Regions from separate parts of the Mus musculus genome. Here regions 1 and 2 are each reported to be linked to region 3. Evidence: microRNA targets listed by miRTarBase, many of them from high-throughput screens and not tested one by one. Region 3 holds a microRNA gene; each other region holds the end of a gene's coding sequence.
The links. The annotated mature microRNA mmu-miR-29c-3p reads UAGCACCAUUUGAAAUCGGUUA and lies in region 3 at 1,867-1,888, shown strand. An mRNA with a match to its seed (bases 2 to 7 or 8) in the 3' UTR can be bound and repressed. Matches are read on the target gene's strand: a 7mer-m8 pairs with bases 2 to 8, a 7mer-A1 pairs with bases 2 to 7 and ends in A, and an 8mer does both.

Region 1 (7,118 bases), not on the chromosome of region 3:
CTCGGTCTAAAATAACTGTCTGGCAGTTTGTAACAGTCAGTGTGTTAAATATGGATCTGCAAGTAAAACCTGGTTGGAATGACTCTTGAACAGTAGTGGAGGCATTTTGCTTACTTTATACTTGAATCTCAGTACAGTACAGCATAGTAGCTCACAATAAAGTCCTCCATTTTCACTGGGAGAGGTTTGATAAGCACACCAAGAGTGACAGGTACACTGTCAAAGCCTTCCAGTTTGTTTCACCTCTTTTGATGGGTCTTCTCTTGACAAGACTCAAGCCAAGTAGAATTTTGTATCTAGTATCTACTGAAGTTGAAATTTGGTTGTAGTTACAAATATTTTTTCCAATCTAATTAATCATCAGTATTCAGGTTTTACTTAAGCTGGGTCATTTTAGTTATATAAAACTGGGTTAAAAGTTCCTAAGGACTATCAGAAACTATGTTTGTTAAAAAAATAATAATAATTAGGTTCACATTCTGTATCTAACGTTCTTCTATGTAGCAAAATTTGTCTGTTTTTGCTTTATACTTTTGGGGTTTCCTGAGAGGCCAGGTAAAGCGGCTATCACCAGTGGCATTAATTTTAATGATATGTCAATCAGGCATGCTGCCATATGGTTGTAATCCCACAACCTAGGACACAGGCAGCAGGATCATGAGTTTGAGGCCAACATAAGCCACCTAGTGATAGTCCATCTCAAATAAAATAAAATAAAATAAAATAAAATAAAATAAAATAAAATAAATCCAGAAGGGAGGATTTTATGGTGAAGTGAAAGATTAGACCACTCCTGTTTTTAAATATCCTATTCTATCCTAAGCATTTAACCTGTTTAGAGAAAATATCACTGTGTCCCAGATTGGCTTCCTTCTTCCTCAGTCCCCTATGTTCTGGGACTGCAAGCATATGCCACCATGCCTGGAATTGCTACTTTTTAAGGTGATGATTTTAATGGCGTACTTTATAGGCCTTATTATATTTTTATAGACTTATTTTCCCATAGATTGTGTTAAAATTTTAAAGTAAACCAGAGCTCAGTAAGTAGTTAAAATACATTTTCAGAAAAACAAGGAATTAGTACTATTCCTTTAGGTAAAACAAGTAGTTAGCACTCTTTTATAAAAGGTCTTTTGTATGTCTTAGCTTATTTTTTAATTCCTTCATTCTTTGGATCTTTTAAATGGCAGTATCCCTCTGAAGAAGATATGATTGAATGGGCAAAAAGGGAAAGTGAGCGGGAAGAAGAACAGAGGCTTGCCAGACTAAATCAGCAGGAGCAAGAAGACTTGGAACTGGCCATTGCACTTAGCAAATCTGAGATCTCAGAAGCATGAAGAGTTATCTGTCCTTTGTCAGCAGTACAGTGCTCTCTGGAACACTGAAGCTATTTACCATGTGCATCAAACTACCTATGAGCATGGGATACAAAAGGTTTGAGATTCCTAGAAATGTGACAAAAGTCTAGTTTGTTTTTTTTTTTTTTTTTGGGGGGGGGTGCTATTTCAAATGTGTCTTTTATTTTTTCTTCCAAAAGCAGTACCCTAATTAAACGGCTTTGCCTAGACCCCTGTTCTGGTGTGCATTTATAGTGAGCTCTTGCCTGCTTGCACTAGCCCCTGTAAAGCTAGAGCATCAAGCCTCTGCCTTCTGGAACCTAGCAGATGTAGTTTTGCGCTGTGCTACCCTTGTCCTGTAGTTACTATGACAACGACTGGAGTTCTGAAAGTGTGCAAGTATTCTCCCTGAGCTGAGTGCTTGAAGGAGGGGGAGGGAAAGAGTATCCTGTTTCTTCTGATCGGTACAAATTAGTCAGTTTAAAGTGCATTATATGTACTTCTGGAGAAAATATAGTTAAGTTACTTAGAGACAGGGGAAAATATTCTGCATAGATCTACTCCACTATTGAAAACTGGATAAGTTAAACCATTATTGCTCCAGCCGCAAGTAATTCCTAAATAAAAGTATTAAAGCCTTGTATATGAAACATGTTTTTAGAACAATTTTCTCTGGACTTAAAGAATTTTACGATTAACAGATACCTCACGACATGTTTCCTAGTTAAAAACAAACAAACCAATTTCTTACAAATAAAATTTGTAAGGATATGTTCATTTTAAGTGCTAGTGAGGAAAATTTGTAACTTAAAATATAACCTATCCGTTTAAGCAAACACTTAGCCTGTACCCATTTTGCCTTTGTGGCTGCACTGACCGTAGTTCATAAGTGACCTGAAGTCTAGGAAGCTAGAATTGGAAGGTACTTTGGTATTCATTATGTGTTTTGTTTCTTTAGTGAAGGCCCAGCTATTTGCAGTGATACAAATGGAAGAAATAACATTTGTTATATCCTCTTACTTTCTGTCCATCTTTGTAGTTTAAATTTCTTTATTTGCTTTATTTGTCTCACCAATAAAATTGACAAGCTACCCCACCCCCAAAAAAATCCTAGTTTTTAAATTGAGAGAAAAATAAACCAAGTTGCCAAATTATCAGAGCCCTACTTTTGTTAAAAGCCCATCTTCTGCTGAACTGGCCTGACAGACAGCTGGATTTTAAATGGATTTGAAGTAAACTATAATTTGTAATTTTTTAGATAAGAGTTACTAATTTAGTGTTTGTAATACCAAGATAAACAAAAATGCACCTACAAACTATTTAAAATTCTTTAGGATAGCCAAGTTAAGGTGGTATTGAACTGTTGTTAGAGTAATTTACTGCCTGGCCTATAAGTAAATTCTAGTGTCTAATCAGACCATTTTGAAATGGTGCTTTTTTTTCTTTTCCACATACTATTGGATAGCTGGGATTTAAAACAAACTTCAACCACTTTCTTGCACTGCTAACTTTTTTCTACTTTTGTAAATAAATATTTCAGCATAAAAGTTAAAACATGAAGTAAGGGCTGAATCGTAATCACAAGGCTTTAATTGTGATAACTAATTCCGTGGCCTAAGTGCTTGCTGCAAAGGGTGATGAGCAGGTCAGGTTGGGTGGTGTTCCTGTTTGCCCCTTCCTCTCACTCCTCAGGAGAAAGGTAAGTTGACTTGAATAACCTTCGTTTGCACTGAGAAAAGTGAAAAATGTTTGAAATGCTTTAATTTTTTTTAATAAAAAACACTCTGGAAATATTAAATATCTATAACTTATAAACAGCAACTTTTGATGTGTAGTAAGTGTGCCCTAATCTTCTGTGCGCTTAGCTGGGTCATAGAGGTTCTTATCCTTTGTTAAGATGTGTGTGCTCAGTGGGCCAATATCATACTAAAGTATGTAATATGACATAAACATATCTATATCTCCATGCTTGAGTGTATAGAATGAATGTCTTAAGAGCCATTTGTGATGTTTTATGGTGTTGACCCTGGCTCCAAAGCCTGCGCTTGAAACAAAGACAGAGTTTTAACCATCTTCCTTTTATGTACTTGTTCAGCTTTATCTGTGCTCTCTTCATAGATGTTCTCTCATGTTTCAAACTTATAAATTACTGTTGTAATTATGAAGATAATAAACTTTAATAAGTAAAAATGTGTACTATATCATTTTGCATTGAAACTTTGTGCTGTTCTTGATCGTGTGCATATGGTAGGAGGAGGGCAAGTTGCCATCAGCATACATTATCCTGTATAAAGGGTTCTTACAGTACTATAGAGACTTAAATAAATGTTGAATGCTAATTCTATAAACAAACTTTGTTATCTTGTCCTGTTTTTTGAAAGGAAGTTAGGATATGTATCTTCATAAAGATAGAGCCTGAAACACGTGGCTGTGTAAGGACGCGTGCCTTGGGTTCTTAGGATGTTCCTGACCTCAAATCCCTTTTCTGCTGTTTTTGAGAAATTCCTTTAAGTCATACATGGTTGTGCACACCTTTAATCCAGGAGGCAAAACCAAACAGGTCCGAAGTTCTGACCAGCCTAGTCTATGTGGCAAGTTTGAAGTCAGTCTGAGCTACATAGGGAGACCCTTTTTAAAAACAAGCAAGAACAACAACAAAAGAAAGTTCTTTAGCCTCTGATTCCCTGAACTTCATTTTCCTCATTAATGAGTTTGATAGTTTGGTCAATCTCTTGTTAGATGGAGGTCTTGCTATCTCGGGCTAACCTCCAGTTCAATTCTTCTGCCTCGTGAGCAGTTGGAATTACAGCCATGTAATACCCTGCCCAGCTTGATACCTTTTTTTTTTTTTTTCGAGACAGGGTTTCTCTGTGTATCTCTGGCTGTCCTGGAACTCACTCTGTAGACCAGGCTGGCCTCGAACTCAGAAATCCGCCTGCTTCTGCCTCCAGAGTGCTGGGATTAAAGGCGTGCGCCACCATACCCGGCAACACCTTTTTAATACTAGCTATTTTAAGGAAATAGGTTCACTGCCCCCACCCCCCAGGGCCTCCTTTACCTCTGAGCTCTTCCCAGCCTCACATTAGACTGTGTGGTGCATGTGACGCCCTATGCCAAGCATTTTGTGTCTGCTTGTGTTTCTTGTCTAGTTTTCACCGTAGGACTCGGTAAGGACAGGTTTTCTCCTGTTTTGAAGATCTGTATGAGAAAGTTAAAGTGTGTGCTTCAGCTTACACACCTGAACTCTTGATTCCAGCATGGTAATGCATGTAGTTTACATACCGTATTTCATTTTGTGTGAAAAAAATGCTTCTAGAAAATGGTAGGAACAGGACATGATAAATAATGACTGTCATTTTTAAACTTGTTATCATGATCCTCAGTGTTTAGCAAATATCAATCCACTTAGTCCTCACAACCGGAACTCTGAAAAGTACAGGTGTCTCCATTGTTCAGAAATACCCAAGTGAGAACCCAAGAAACTGGGTCCAGAGGTTTACTGCTACGCGTTGTTCTTAATAGAGATAAACCAGAATAGAAATACCATGCATTATCTATATAGTCACTCTTAATGGAATAAGTCTACTACATCACACCTGATATCTTAAAACATTCCTCAGAGCCCAGTGTGGTGGTGCACGCCTTTAATCCCAGCACTGAAAAGGCAGACAGGTGGATCTTTGGAGTTGGAGGTCACACTGATCTACATAGAGAGTTTCAGGTCAGCCAGAGCTCCATCAAGAATGAAGAAAAAGTAGGCCAGGTGGTGGTGGCGCACGCTTTTAATCCCAGCACTTGGGAGGCAGAGGTAGGTGGATTTCTGAGTTCGAGGCCAGTCTGGTCTACAAAGTGAGTTCCAGGACAGCCAGAGCTACACAGAGAAACCCTGACTCGGAAAAAAAAAAAAAGAAGAAGAAACGTAGGAAGGAAGCATTAATTCTCTCAGGGCCCAGATAGATGCCCAGTGGTTATGGGCATTTGCTGCTGTTGCAGAAGACTATAGAGTGCAGTTTCCAGCACCCACTGATGGCTCACGACTGCCTGTAGTTCTAGCACCAGGGATATAGTACCCTTTCTGACCTCAGGCATTCACACTCACCTACACAGATATGACTGTAACACATAATTAAAAATAAAACAAATCCTACATGAGTTGCTGACATGAGAACTCAATTGTAAATTATTAACGTTACCATAAACATAGGGCAGAAAAGGCCAGCCTTACTTTTTATTAAATACAAGTTTAAGCCAGGTGGTGGTTTATGCCTAATAAGACTAGCATTCTGGATGTTCACACAGAAAAGTCCTCGGAATTAAAGATCAGCCTGAGTTATAAGTTTGAAGCAATAAGTCAAACAAAAATGAACAGTAGCCAGTACTGCTGAGGCTCTGAAGGAAGACGTGACTAGGGCAGTAGAGGCACTGAGGAATCTGGTGGCCAGAGTGCCTGGAGTGAATGAAGCCCTGGGCTGAGTCCCCAGCACCCTGGAAACTGGCAGGATGTTGCATGCCTGTGATCCCAACACTCAGAAGTTGAAGATTATCGTTGGCAATATAAGGAATTCAAGTCCAGCTTGGATTCTATGGGCTCCTCATCCTGAATAAAAAGGAGGTAAGTTTTAAATATTTTTAAGTAGCTCAGTACAACATTACATTTATACATTACATTTATGGATAAAAGAATGAGTTGTCTTTATGGTTTTTTTGGTATAAGCTCTCCTTGGTAATCGAGGGGATTGATTTAGGGAAAAAAATAAAGTGAAGTTAGCCAGTTGAGAAGTTTTGAAAAGTGTTATGGCTAGGCCCTAAGAGGAGAGTGACTCCAGAACAAACTGAGATTAGCAAATCATAGCTTCTAAATAGATGTTAGTGAGAGGAGAGTAACTCTGAGTTTAGAAGCCTCCGGATCGTCTGGAAGGTGTATTAAATAAAGGTCGATGGACCCTGCCCTCAGCTTATGATTAGTCAAGTATAAGATCCACAGCCACACAATGTTTGATGTGTATTTGAAAAGATTTCTTCTTCAGGAGGCTTCTCGTAGGTGGCATTTATCACTTTAATGAATTTAGCCTGCTCCAAGATCCAGACCTTTCTTTAGAAACCTTATTTCATCAGTAAAAGAGGCTGATGTAAGGTCAAGAATATTGCTTTCCCATTATCATTGTCACTGAGCTTTGCCCACAGTAGATTGAATCTGAAGCCTGCCTTCCTTCCTTCCTTCCTTCCTTCCTTCCTTCCTTCCTTCCTTCCTTCCTTCCTTCCTTCCTTCCTGGGGCTACCATTCATCTCAGCTGCCTGGACCAAGGGCATGGTTTTCTAGATTAATATGTTTATTGAGCTAACATCTGGTTTGGCTGGTTGGGTGGCTGTTTGGCTCTTTGGGATAACTCTGCATACCTTGGCTTTTGATTCATTGTATGTAAATCTTTCAGTGTGTTAAAGAGCATCATTTTAAATTTCAGGAAATAGAATTTGTCATTGAATATGTGCTGGGCCACAAGACAAAATAAAAGCCACTGATTTTTTTTAACATATTTCAAATTCAGGTCTTAATGTTACATATATTCTGCATAAATGATATGAATGACACAAAAAATTATCTTAAGCCAAGGATGGTCATAGGTGCCTATAGTCTGACGGCAGAGGCTGAGGCAGGATTGATTGTGTTCAGAAGCTCGTAGCAAGCCTAAGAACTGTTAAGACCCTATGTCAACTAACTCTTGTCTGACTGTTTCCTAAATCTCTTGACCTCTCTGAACACGGTAAGAATAACCTTTTAGT
Region 2 (7,118 bases), not on the chromosome of region 3:
AAAGATGATGAAGACAGAGAAGCAAATTTCCCTCCTAGGAGAGGTGGGCGGGAGGGGTGTCTCCTAGGAGCCAGGATGAACTGCGCTCTGCTCTGGAGAGTCTGCACTCTCCCCAGAGCCTGAACTACTGTTTTTTCACCTGCCGTTCCATTCCAAGCTCCTGAATGCTCTTCCTGCCTAGCAGGAAACACGTGTGAGAAGAGCCTGCAGAGGGAGTGGAAGAAGGTCGGGGAGTCTCCATGAGCTTGGGTGGGACTCCACTCCTCCGCCCACAGTTGGCATAATGTCCTCAGGGCTCATCCGTGAGTCAGCTTCCTTTCTTTCTAAGGTTGGACAAGGGCCATTGTTACATTCTTTGACAATGAATGTGGGTTTGCCCTGACCGGGCATGGGGATCCCTCCCTTTCCCAATCACCGCTTCTGGTCCTGCACCTGGTCTAGCCATTTGCTCTTGCTGCTTGGGAAACAGCTACATCAGATCAAACGGAAGCCAGAACTGGGGACTCCATGCTGTCATTTCCATGACACTCTTGTCTTTGGGGATGACACTGGTGTCTGGGGCTACTCCTCAATGTTACACATTATACATGCCCTGGTATCCTCTTGGATTTGCCAAAGACCACACTGGATCCTGTGAAATCACACCAGGAAGAGCACTGGCCTAGGCTCCAAGGGGAGTGAAGAGAGGATGGAACCCTACTGTGGATCTAGCCCAAGCTGAGATGCTTGACTCAAATAGACAGGAGCCCCATCTACCCGTTTGCTGTCACCCCTTTGGAGGCCTTTCCCATGTGTGACCTCACAGGCATCTTGCTTAATCTTTTTCATAATGTGTTTACTATCTGCCTCCTTCGCTGAGTGTGGAGGTTCCCTTCGTGGTTCATGGCTAGGTCCCCAGTGCCTAGAACATTGCTTAGCATACAGCCAATACTAGATAAATATTTGTTGACTGAGTAGAATGGATAGAAAAAAAGAAATCCAGAAAGACCAGTGGGTGAGTGAACTAGTTATTGCATGACTGTAGAAGCCCGTTTGAAGATATGACCACTGAAGGTACGGAAAGGGACAGCGAAGGCTTCATGGAGGAGGAGGTACCAGAGGCAGGAGCACAGACCAAGCGGACTCTGGAAACTATGAGATAAGCTAAGCAAGGGTGGCTCCACCTTTCCTCTGTCTCCCAGCCTTTCCTGCCCAGGCAGAGGCCCTGCCTCAATCCAGACCTCTGTGCCTCCTGTTCGGTTCTGCTGTGGGTGGAAGGGGTTTTTTCCATGGCCGATCCCTTCAGACTCTGGTTATACAGGACCTGCACTGCCGCCGCACCCCCCCCCCCCCCCCCCCCCCCGTGAGCCTCCTTCCCTGAGAACACCCAGCAGGGGCAGCTGTTGCCAGCTTTGTGCCTCTCAAATTAGTTCCCTCTCCCTCTCCTTCTGACCTCGCTAGAACATTCTCATTTACTGGCTTAGCATAGGCATTTCCTTCTTTTCTACCTAGGGTAGTGGCTCACTCTCCTGTTGAAGGGGCTGCGGTGGTATGAGCACGGGTTACAAATCAGGCTGTCTGAGCTCTAATCCCTGCCCCATTTCTCACAGACTAAGGATCCTTAAGCCCTTAGGGTCATCTGTAAACAAACATAATACCTCATAGGATTGTTATGAGAAGAGAGTTACTTGTAAGGAGCTTAGTCCAGTACGTGGTCAGCCTCTGTTCAACAAGAGGCCAGTGCTTGGTGACTGTCCCTGCCTGGCAGCTTACCTGCTCCAAGACAGAACACAGCGTGTAACATAGAATTCCCTAGGGTGGTTGTTGTTGTTGTTGTTCTTCTTCTTCTTCTTTCTTCTTTCTTCTTTCTTCTTTCTTCTTTCTTCTTTTTCTTTCTTCTTTCTTCTTTCTTCTTTCTTCTTCTTCTTCTTCTTCTTCTCCTCCTCCTCCTCCTCCTCCTCCTCCTCCTCCTCCTCCTCCTCTTCCTCCTCTTCTTCTTCTTCTTCTTTTTTTTTTTTTTTTTTTTTTTTAAAGATTTATTTTATTTATATGAGTACACTGTAGCTGTCTTCAGACACACCAGAAGAGGGCATCAGATCTCATTACAGATGGTTGTGAGCCACCACGTGGTTGCTGGGAATTGAACTCAGGACCTTTGGAAAAGCAGTCAGTGCTCTTACCCGATGAGCCATCTCTCCAGCCCTTCTTCTTCTTCTAAATTAATACTCGTAGATTCTTAGTGCTTGGGGGTGGGGGTGGGGTTGATGAACAGAAGCAAAGACAGAGCTCTCTGACTCCTATAGTCCACAAGGAACCCACTATAGTGTCCTGCACTATCCTGGCAGGCATGTGAAAGATGCTGACGTCTGTCTAATGAAGAGGATGGAGGCAGGTTACAAGGTAAACAGAAACTGTGAAGAGCTACTCCCTGTCTTCAGGGCCTCATCCTCCCTAGTCCTTCCCTGAGAGTTCTCGGGACAGAAGCCTTCCTTTCTTCCTCCCACCTACCCCATCTTCTAGCCTGGCTCACCATGCCCAAGTGCCTGACTGGGCACCCCTAGCCCTTTCCCCAGATACCACTGCCTTGTGCTACACTGTTGGAGAAGACCATGGTCAGGTGCACACCAGCTTAGAGAGTTTAGAGGAAATGCTCTGTCCCCAAGTCCCGTCACTCCGGTGTTGGCAGGGCAGGGCTGCCAGGAGCCACATGCAGCTCAGCTTGGAACTGGAAGTTTGGCTGAACAAGGGAATGAAGAAAAGAGGCAGGCACGGAGAGAGAAAGGGAGAGGGAGAGGGAGAGGGAGAGGGAGAGGGAGAGGGAGAGGGAGAGGGAGAGGGAGAGGGAAGCTAAGGTGGTGGGCAACACTCACAGCAACCACTCCACAGCAATCCAGACCCACATCAGCCTGTCTATTCAGGACAGAACCGGTTGGGGTAAGCTCGTCTCAGTAGGAGGTCTCTGTAGGGGAGCACTCTCAGGTTGCAGTCCTCTGGGAGAAGGAAGCTGAAGTTGCACACACTGGTCAACACTCAGACTTGGACCTGAGGACGGGTTTGCCAATTCCTAAGGGTCTACAGTATTGGTCCTTGTCAACAACACACATACACTCAAAATTTCATTTCAGGAATTCCAGAGCTGACAACTGGCTGGCCTGACTTGCTTAGCAGGGAGCTTTCTGCAGGACCTTAGGTATCTCACATTCCTCCAACCTTCCAAGTGCAAATTCCATCCAGGCGCTCCAGCTGGGGAGTACCAGTTACTGACCATCCAGGCACTGTGGCTGAAGAGTACTAGTTATTGACTGTCCAGTCACTGCGGCTGAGGAGTACCAGTTTCGCTCACAGTATGCTAGAAAGGGTAGCGTAGAATGGAAAACAGTCAGGAAAGGAAATAGCTTGGGCTTGGGAGGCAACTACAAACAGGGTGTGCTAGGAAACACTCCTGAAGGAAGAAGTCAGGAAGGCTGGGAGGTGGCGGGAGTCAGAGCAAGGGGCAGAGCTCTATCCCTACGACACATGTAAGACAGCTACAGTGGCATGTTCATGTACTCCCAGAGCCAGGGAGGAGGAGACAGGCCTATCGTGGGTGCTTGCTGCCTAGCCAGCCTAGCTTTCTCGGCCAATTCCAACCCAGGGAGAGACCCCTTCTCAGAAAACATGGTAGTGGGCTGGAGAGAGGTCTCAGCAGTTAGGAGCATAGGCTGCTCTCTGGCTTTCATTTCCAGAGCCTACACGGTGGCCTATCTGTAACCCGTCACAGGGTCTCCACGGGCACCATATACATGTGATGCAGACATACATGCAGATAGAACATACACAGAACACAAGAGCACAGGTGGACAGACCTTGAGGAATGACACTTGCCGTAACATCTAGCTTCCATATGTGCCACATACACAAAGCTGTCAGATTCTGAATTTGTTCTGAAGGTGCACACCGGACGTGGAAGAAAAGACCAGACACCTCAAAGGGCTGGACTGGTGCAAAGGGGATGAACGTCACTGACAGGAGACAGTGGTTGAGCACATCTCGGGTGGGACAGGGACTATGACAAGTTCAGGGATGGGGATTCTGGCCATCAAATGGAAAACGCGGGTAGAGAAGGGCAGCTGTGTAAATCAATGTTGGGAGAGGCAATCGATCATACATGCAGGAGCAGCCAGCATGTTGAGGCCATTTCTAGCTGACATGCTGGGAGAAAAATCAGGCCCATTTCAAGCTCTTCTAACCTGGCTGTCATTCCCCACCACAAGTGCCACCCACCTACATTTTTGTTTTCTTTTTCTTATTTTGAGACAGGGTTTCTCTATGTAGCTCTGGCTGTCTTGAAACTATGTAGATGAGGCTAGCCTCAAACTCAGAGATCTACCTGCCTCTGCCTCTCTAGTGCTCAAAGGAAAGGCACTGGCCAATATGCCCGGCCTTTGTTTTCTTCTGTGTTTTAAACACTGGGTCTATGTAGCCCAGTTGAGCCTTAAACTCACAATCCTAACTGCAACCTGGAGTGCTGAGATCCCAGCTCCTGGCCCAGCCACACTCATGCCCATCGCAGCCTGCTTATTTGCTACTCGGGGAGAAAGTGCAAAAAGAAATGTCTAAACCAAGCTGCTTTTGAGTCTGGACTAGCCGAGCACCATTCCCTCCTGTGCCTGCATTCTTGTGCTGCTCAAAGACCCAAGTGGCCCAGCCAGTAGTTAAGCCAAGTCTACTGCTATGCTCACATCGACAGACTTCAGGGTGTCCCCATTCCCCTCTCTATCCTGGATCCCAGACCAGAATTCGCTCCCATGCTCGCACTGCTGGACACTGGTGGTATGTCCTGAGATGGTCACATCCTGCTGAAGATCCATGCAGCAAGCACTGGTAACAACAGGGACAGTGCAAGGGCCTGAGGGAGGACAGACAGAGGGCACTGATGGCATCCTGTCAGGTCACAGCCTTCCCAGAGGAAGCAAGAGTGAGCAGGCAGTTAAGGGTGTGTGGTTGGTGAACAATGCATTTTGTCTGACGAGCTGGGAGGGAAGCGTGGGCTATGGGCAGAGAGAACAAGTTACCTGAGTATGCTGGCGAAGCTGGGGTGGGGGAGGCTTACTGCTTAAGGACTTGTTCTACAGGAACCCAGCGTTCTCTAAAGGAGATAGGCAAGGGCAGGCTCCAGGGCTAGTGCTTGATTTAATGAGCGGTCCTTTTCCTTTAGCTTCTGAGACAGGGTTTCTCTGTGTAGCCCTGGCTGTCCTAGAACTTGCTCTGTAGACCAGGCTGTCCTGAAACTCACAGAAATCCACCTGCCTCTGCCCCCCAAAGCGCTGGGATTAAAGGTGTGCAGCACCTGGCTAAGAAGTGGTCCTTAATACCAAACATTTCCAGGCACCGCAGAGAGTCCGCCATTCTGACACACTGTAGTTAGCCACTCTGCTCTGCCTTTGCTAGGAGGATTTTCATGATCATAGGTTATATTTACAGAAAATCTCCCAGCCAAAACCAGAGTTGGGGAGTCATTACGAGAGGGGTGGGAGATACACAGACGAGAAGGCATTTCTGTCTGGGGTGGGCCCATAGGCATCACAGGCTTTAGCTGGGAACTCTTCCCAGGCCTTAGGAAGGAAGCAACGACCTAGGAAGGCTGCCACTTTATTACATCAGTAAGTTCACAGACACTCACCCCCACCCCACCCCACCCCACCCCACCCCCAAACAGCACCACAGCTCTACTGCGCCCATTGCCTGGGCCATCAGAATGTCCAGTAAAGACGGAAGCATCGCTAGGCTGTCCGGTATACTGCAGCACGAGCCCCTTGTAGGCAGAAGCACGGCTGCCACAGGAGAGGATGGGAAGGGATTTGGCTCAAGTCTACCACACTGGAAACCACGCCTTGGCCCAGACCAGCTCCAGAGGGAGTTAGCCTCAAAAGCTAACTCTGGAGACACAGCGGGTGGCAGAAAAAGCCCTGCCCTGCTCCCTCGGGTCGGACGAGTGCAGCTGCAGTTGCTGGGGAAAGGGAGGACTAGAGAGGGGGCACACCACGGGCTCGCCGGACTAGAGAGGGGGCACACCACGGGAGCGCCGGACTAGAGAGGGGGCACACCATGGGAGCGCCGGACTAGAGAGGGGGCACACCACGGGCGCGCCGGACTAGAGAGGGGGTACACCACGGGCTCACAGGACTAGAGAGGGGGTACACCACGGGCACGCCGGACTAGAGAGGGGGCACACCACGGGCTCGCCGGACTAGAGAGGGGGCACACCACGGGCTCGCCGGACTAGAGAGGGGGCACACCACGGGCGCGCCGGACTAGAGAGGGGGCACACCACGGGCGCGCCGGACTAGAGAGGGGGTACACCACGGGCTCACAGGACTAGAGAGGGGGTACACCACGGGCACGCCGGACTAGAGAGGGGGCACACCACGGGCACGGCGGATGAGGTTAGCCAGCCGCTTGGCCAGGCCGCCCGACTTGGGCTCTTCGATGTGAAAGGTTCGGGTGAGGAGATTGTAGAAGGAGCCATAGCACACGGCCACCACCGTGCACGTAAGGCAGATCACATTGTAGGGCATGCTGAAGTCCGGGGTGGGCAGGTTCACTAGCAAGGGCTCTGTGTAGAGTCGGACAAAGTAGCTGGAGCCATCAGACACCGGGAACCTAGGGATGGGAAGGAGGGCTGAGACAGGACTGCTGCCCCACCCTCCGTCTCCCTACTCTCCACAGCTTGTGCTGCAGGTCCTAGTGCTGACACCCAATAAGGATCACCTCACCAGAGAGCGCAGGCTCACCTGATCAGATCAAAGGAGAGCACCAGCACGGAAGCAAAGGGCCGCCTTGTCTACTGCCTTAGTCTCAGCCTTAATGGCTCTCCTCAAAATAGCTAACTTACTGCATGCCGCCACCGCCACCACCACCTCCTCCACCACCACCGCTTCCACCATCATAGCTATCTAGAACAATCTGCCCACGGCTGAGCACAGGGGACAGGCCACGTTGTCTATCTTCTATCTCTCTTTAGTCCCTGACACTAGGTAAGCGTTCCACTGATGTTAGGTTTGGTAGGTACCTGCAACTACTCTCACCTTTTTGTCTTAGCCTTTTATACATCTTTACCAATGTCATAGGCCACTAGGATTTCAAGAGGGCCTGCTAAA
Region 3 (7,118 bases):
AGTTCCTAACCCTCAGGCTCTAATTTTGCCAACCAATGTCAGTGTCACTCAGAAACCCAGTGTATAGATCTTCCAGCACTCATCTGCAGCTAAGGCCCTGGAAAGCCCCAGGGAGGCTGCTGGGCCTTCTGTTTCTCCTCTGGCTGGCCCAGTTTCTGAGAAGTCAGTGTCAGCATTGCTAGGCTTCATTGCTATCATCTTCTCTATTGCTGGAAAGAATAAAGGGGCACCAATGAGGCAAAAGAACAAAAGCAGGTCCTCCTAGACTACTTGACCTCTTGCAGTACCAACGATGTGTTCTCATCTTCACCCAGGGATAGCATGTTTACAGTGAGTCTCCCATCCAGATTGTCTGAGCTAAATCCCCCTCCCCAGTCTAGCTCTGAGTTCAGTTCAAGAGAAAAGAGGTCACAGTCAAGCTGTGGATCAAGCAGCAACAGTGGGCAGAGGGAAAGGAATATAGACATTAGCTCATCGTATCCTGTGACTACAGTTTCTTGTGCAGACATCGGAATAATAACCTACTTCACTGGAATCTTGGAACAATTGAATATTGTGACTCTGGGGATACTCACATTATATTTGCTCTATTACCCCAAAACAGCCAGGAGCCATAAAAAAATATGCTTGTATCTGGAAGCCAAAAAGTTTTTCTGGGGAACCTGAAAAATACAGCTCTACTCTTTGTCTCCTTTCAAAGATGACAGTTGTGACATCAGAGGAAATATACAGCAAAAATGCAGTACAATGTGAAACATAGCTTGTGAATCTTATTTTTAGGTACATTTTTAAAACATACCTTGTTTTGTGTTAGAGGGTTATCTGTATAATACAGTGTTAAGATACCAGCTTTTAAAAAGACATTAGGGGTTAAATCAAATTGCTAGCCTACAGGGTCATGGGATAGAGAGCAGGAAGGAACATACTCTTTTTGAATAATACTTGTGGAAGAGTTGTCCTGGCACAGGTGACTTACTTGGGTTCAGTTGTTAACATCTCATAGGTCATTGTCATTGTCTTGAACAAGTGACATATCTACCGACACTATGCATCTTGGGAAATTACATAAATTCAAGACATTACAAATGTACATATGTTGAATGGATTTGGTTCTTTTATTTCATTGTGTATGATGATTTCTAATGACTAATGTGAAGTCACACAGGAAACAAGCTTTGCATTGTTTTTGTCTGCTCAAAGTGTTGGCTGTATGGCTGTCATCTGCGTCTGACAGGCAAAATGATTCTCAGGGCTGAGGCTGGTTCTTCTGACTGCACATCTCTGCTTTCTTCAGTGAGATCCTCTTCTTCTGGAAGCTGGTTTCACATGGTGGCTTAGATTTTTCCATCTTTGTATCTAGCACCATTTGAAATCAGTGTTTTAGGAGTAAGAATTGCAGCACAGCAGAGGGTAGACTACAGAGGAACAGCTGTACACAGAACTGGCTCTCTCCTTCGAGAAATCAAGGGAAGACTTGAATAGTGACATTTGCTCTTGAGTCTGTTTGGTTTAGAGGCAGTGATAGTGAGAAAGTTTTTGTGTTCAGAATGTATAAGGGTATAATCAGGAAGTGGTCTACTTTATTCAGCATTCCATGGGTGGAAGAGGGTTCCTTGGGCCTGCACTGTTCATTAATTGTAGCAAGGAAGGGGTAAGAGCTCTGTATGTGGAGGACTGCTTCATTCACATCAGTATGGCTCGTCTGAACCTGGAAGATCCATGGAGCACTCATTCAGTCCTGGTTGCAGCACAGCTGAAATCAGACTGTCACCTGCCTTGAGATTCAGACCTGAAGAACACCACCAGTCGGTCCATCTCTTACACAGGCTGACCGATTTCTCCTGGTGTTCAGAGTCTGTTTTTGTCTAGCACCATTTGAAATCGGTTATGATGTAGGGGGAAGAGCACCAGCCTCAGAACCTTGTGGTGTCAGCATCAGCATCAGCCTATCACTTCCTACGTGGGCAGAGTGGAAAAGGAAGATCACAGTTTCCTAACTTCTTTAATTCGTATGTATGTGGCTGCCAAGGTTAGAGATCACTTAGTGGGGGGTTTTAATTGTTATAATTTATTGTTGTAAAATATTCTCAGTTACAATTTCTGACATGTAGTACTGTTATAAACTAAGTACTGTTAAACGTTGGCTTTAATAAATAATTTGCTACATTCAATCTATCATGTCTGTTTTATCTACTATTTTTCATTCATAATTCTATGGCAATGAGAAGTGGTCCCTGGAAAGTTAATTTGCTGTGCCAATCATAAGGAATTGGAAGTAGGTTGCTGCATGCAGACATTAAAAATGAAGGTCATTAAGACAGGAATGAAATTCTAAAGATGAAAGATTAGCAGAGACAGAAGGTTGGAGCTCTAGGCTGAGGGATGTTACTAAATGGGAAGACTATTCTTGGTTCCAAGGGAACTGTGGACTCTGACCCTCCTCCTGTCAGTTGCTGCAGGGAACTTACTTAACTGCACTGTCATGTGGCCCTTAAAGGGGAGCAGGCTAATTTCAGTTGTATTTGTAGCAGAGGGAGTTCTACTTTCCACTGATAGTTTATTTCAACCCTTCAGTAGGCGGTGAAAAAGTTCTATAAAACTGTTCAGAGATTTGCCAGCATTGGGGGTGGTGGAGGGGCAGGGTTCATGATTGGGGAACTTTCAGGAAGAAAGCAGGTGGCCCCTTCCATAGGAGTTGCATAGCTAACTATGAACTACCTGCAGTACAATTATTTCAAGCCAGTAGGTTTTAATAACTAATGGCAAATCAGCTGCTCAGGAAGCTTCTTCTAAGCCTTCATCCCAGTTGCCTTACCCCAGATGGCTGCCTTGCCCATTTTGCTGGAAGTGGGAGGCTGTTGGAGAATTTGCTGGAAAGACTTCCCAGCGACTATGATGCATCCTGCAGCTGCAAAGCTATTTCAAGCCTTTGATTGAAGAATCCATGTTCTAAGTCACATCTAAGGATGTGCTGGTAGGAATAGCTAAGTCCCTCAGCTGTATTTTTTAATTTACCCCACTAAAGTAGGAGACTGCAGCTCCTCTAAGTATGACAGATTGGGTCTGTGGTATTAACTACACATTAAGTCTTTAAAAAAAAAAAAAACATAGCTACTCTGTCCAAAGCTCCCAATTAATTTGTACTGAAAATTTGATTGAAACTCCCCCAGGCCATGATTCTGGCTCTTTAATGAGTTAAGTGCTAGAAAGTTGAATTTAATATCAAAGCACAAAAACAATGATTTAAAATTTATTTCCATTTAGAAAAATCATAATATTCTCATTGAATACTTAAACTTTGCCATATCCTGATGTCCTGAGAAGCAAATTGAAACCAGAACACCTCTCAGTTATTTTTTATCTGGATGCTTATAGCCCTTTACATAAAATTGTCACTCTGGGATAATTTTTCATAATTGGCTAGTAATGTAGGTTTTTTTTTAACAGCACCCTCCTGAATCAGATTTATAAAACCATGCTGTCAACCCAGGTATAAAGACTTTTGTTAAAGCATTAGTTTTTTAAAATTAAGCCTTACCAGACTTTTTAGAAGTGAATACAGTGTATTTTTGTTAACTGGGGGAAGAAAGATCTGCAACCAGTTTAGTAGATCAAATGAATTAAGTTTAGTCCCTAGCATCTTTAAGAAGTTGGTCTAGGCCTTCTGTTTGGAAGCTGGCATATAGTCTCAGGAATAGATAGCACATTGATATTAACATACTTTTAAGGGAAGCCGGAGATAAATCTGTGTTTGATCTGGGGCACATTCTACCTCAGTACCACATTACTGTGGCTTTGGTCACCAAAAGAGTGATCCTCAGGTTCAGGTCCCATTCCTGCAAGCAAATACTATTTTAGCTGGCTTTAGAATGGGGCTCAGATGAGTCTATTGTAGAGCCAAGGCTGAGAGCCACTTCTCTATTTCTGAAAAGACCATACTATTTTGGTCATAGTTATGTGCTGCCAGTTAATATGTTAGTGCATAAATTTCAAGTCAGTACTGTAACAAATTAGTACAAATGTGATATCTTAACACACACAACATTCTTAACAGGTCTGAATAGCAGAAATATAACATTTTCACTGGATTAGAATCAAGGTACTATCAGACACAAACGCTTCAGAAATATGAAGGAAAAGTAGTTGTCTTGCTTCTTTCTGTAAACAGGCTGTGTTCTTTGCCTTGCTCTTTCCCTCAAGCTTCAAAGGCCAGCAGGATCTCATTTTGCCGATGTGGCCACAATGTCTTCTCTAATCAGTCATCACATTTTAACAAAATCACAATGTGGTTAACCTGCACATCAGTTTGAGAAGTATATTGATTGCTATGGGAGCCTACAGAAGGAATTCTTCATGGTTGAAGCTCACCTCGAGTACAGATTTAATTTTTTTTTGAGTAGGCATTGCAGGTGGAGGTAGGTAATCAGATTAATTTTTTCCAAGCACCATACTTAATATGTTCAACTAAGCATTAGATACGCCCTAAATTCCCAATGAACTCCAAACACTAGAGTTCCTGTTTATAGTGGTTCAGCATTGCAATGTACAACAGTTTTCAGAGCTATTCCTCACATTGGTCTTAATACCTGTACTCAGGTTTTACTGGGTTTTGTCCAGTCATGTCGGGAATCAAGGTGGATAGTTTTTCAGCATTGTCTGTGTGGCAATATGTTCACCTGCTGTATGTAAACAAGCAAGAAGGGAAATTATGCATTCACTTGTTCCACCAAGTATTATATATCCCCCATATTTAAGAAGTGAGGAACAAAAAAATTAATTACTACCTTCACAAAAGCAGAAGAGAGCTACTGTTCTACCTGATCTAAAATAAAATTAATGACAATGTCACAGTGAAGAGGCAGAAGACTGTCAGATACTTAAACAGTCCACAGGAGGGCAGCAGTGCTATGATCTCAAAGGCTGACAGCTCATTTTAGGGTAATCTCAGGATGAGCCTAGAGAGCCTAAGCATACTGATGCATAAGGAAGAATAGTTGTGTATTGGATTCATTCAATTCTGTTCTTAAATAGGCAAATTATTAAACTATGAAAAATCCAGTCTTGGTTAAAATGTTAGCTCTCTGGTAGAATTGCTTATTTCCCTTAAACCTTAAAATTAGGATGAATATTCAGGTTCTTTTTGCCCCTGAGTCTTTCTAGCATAATTCAGACAATTTACTGTTGGTTACTGTAAAAGTCCTTTCTGTATATTTTATGCCAATTAAAAATATGCTAGAGTCTCATGTTAATTTTCTAAAAATGCTTAGTCAATGCAATTTTCATTCTGTGTTTATATTGTTCATAAACATTACTATATCATATTTTAAAACTACAATTTATCATTGCTTATTTTGACAGACATCAATACTTTTAAGCAAACAGTTAATAATCTGTTAATGACTGTTTTCTTCCCAGTGCTAAGGAATGAATTCAGGGTCTTGTACATGCTGAGCAAGCTTTCTGCTGAGCTTCATCCCCAACCCATGAACAACTTTAAGTTCAAGTCTTTGAAAATTTGGTTTTTAATAGGTAGAATTAAACTCTGATTTTCTTTAAGCTGTTATCCTCTTTATATGGAGAGTTGACTGTCACATTTTTATTTTCACATAAAAATCATCATGTCCTATTAGTTACACAGGTTTTACTTTGTTTTTTGAGACCTATGAATACGTTCAAGTGATATGAAAATTACATCTCCTATTAGGCACATGTATACAGACTCTTAAATGTGGCTAACTTAAGGCTAACCAATAAAGATAAAGAACCTGAGGAGTTAGAGCTTCACAGGACTGGTAGGACATGCATTGGCGTTAGAGGTACATGGATTTAGAGAGAATATTAAGCATTTCAGGTGACAGACTGAGTGTGGAAGGCACAGATGTGGTTAATTCACAGCCATTATGTGCAGTGAAAGTGTGAGGCATGGGGATAAGAGCTCCAACTGGACAGGGTTTGGTGTCTGCTTGGAAATGTGACCTTCTTCCTGCAAATACCATGTCACAGGCAGAACATTCTGCTTAGTACACAGGCACTCATGGTTGGATACTGAGAACCCTTGGTGAGCTGCAGGGGCTGAAATGTGAGGTTATAGTAGAGAGGTTAGATACAGATTGTATTTATAAACACAGATTTGATTTACACTAGAAACACACACATTACCACAAATGAAGCTCCTGCAAATATATAATTTTGCGTTTGCCAGACTTGAAGATCCAGTTTTCAAAAATGGAACAGTAATGACTTCCACACATGAGATTTTCATCTTGCTGCAGATACATTTCTGTAGTTAAAAGAACATTTCAAGTTCAAATATGCCTTTTTCTCTGCCATGTGGACAATTTTTTAAAAAGCACTTTTCCTCATATTTATATAACTGACAAAGTATTTGATAAAAATAAAATGTATATTTATACAGACATGTGTCAAATATAAATAGTAATTTGAAGGTTAAATTTGAAGCAGATCAAGCTATAAAGGTAAATTTATTTTCAAAATAAAATATTTGATTGAAAATATTTTAAATTAAGTTTTAAAACAGTAAAGCCATTTCTTGTCTTTAAACAATTAGTAGTTCTTTGTCTTAACTTATCTTTGGCCTCTTTTTTAAATGCTATGATTTTTAAGTATAGCACCGTGTATAGGTACAACTGCTACCTTTTTCTTTTTTTAAGAATGTGAAAATGAGTACAGATTTCAATTTTTCTTAATCAAATTCCTAGGTGGTTTTTTTGTTTTGTTTGTTTTTCTGTCCAAGAGTTATCTTCCTGAAGTATCCACTTGGAGGGTAAAAGGCTTGGAGTTTCACTCAGAGTGACTGTAGGTGTTTATACTCAAAGCAGGGTTCACCCTCGCTCAGTTTCAGTTCGGACTCACAATCTTCTCAAGGGGATGTCTCCTTGGCCCCTCTATGCTACTAAACATAAAAGTGAAAATACACCTCAGAAAAGGCAATTCATCAGGAATGACGGTTTCTTCTCTCAGCAGTAGTTCCTCAGAGCCTGAGTGGGCTGGGGCCTGGTGGAGGTCAAGCTCTGTTCTACCTGAGTATGACCTGCCTCCAGAGCTCCTTCAGTGCAGCTGACAACAGGAGTGCCACTTACAAGGGGGAAGGAGCAGGT

Region 1: miRTarBase lists Eps15 as a target of mmu-miR-29c-3p. Seed matches in the 3' UTR shown: 7mer-A1 at 1,497-1,503 and 7mer-m8 at 2,766-2,772.
Region 2: miRTarBase lists Pigt as a target of mmu-miR-29c-3p. Seed matches in the 3' UTR shown: 7mer-m8 at 5,676-5,682.

The regions. Positions count from the first base shown.
Region 1 is chr4:109,384,129-109,391,246 of GRCm38, forward strand. Eps15 (epidermal growth factor receptor pathway substrate 15) reads left to right here. Exons shown (of 25, transcript NM_007943.3): 25 at 1,191-3,689. The coding sequence ends at 1,337. Among named protein-coding and RNA genes, the nearest start is that of Ttc39aos1, 19 kb to the right of the region's middle.
Region 2 is chr2:164,506,778-164,513,895 of GRCm38, reverse strand. Pigt (phosphatidylinositol glycan anchor biosynthesis, class T) reads right to left here. Exons shown (of 12, transcript NM_133779.2): 12 at 5,595-6,621. The coding sequence ends at 6,369. Among named protein-coding and RNA genes, the nearest start is that of Pigt, 13 kb to the right of the region's middle.
Region 3 is chr1:195,035,734-195,042,851 of GRCm38, forward strand. It overlaps Mir29c (microRNA 29c), which reads left to right and starts at 1,814; the gene lies at 1,814-1,901. It overlaps Cd46 (CD46 antigen, complement regulatory protein), which reads right to left. Exons shown (of 11, transcript NM_010778.4): 11 at 5,505-6,280. The coding sequence ends at 6,259. It overlaps A330023F24Rik (RIKEN cDNA A330023F24 gene), which reads left to right. Exons shown (of 8, transcript NR_015566.2): 8 at 1-2,175. It overlaps Mir29b-2 (microRNA 29b-2), which reads left to right and starts at 1,307; the gene lies at 1,307-1,387.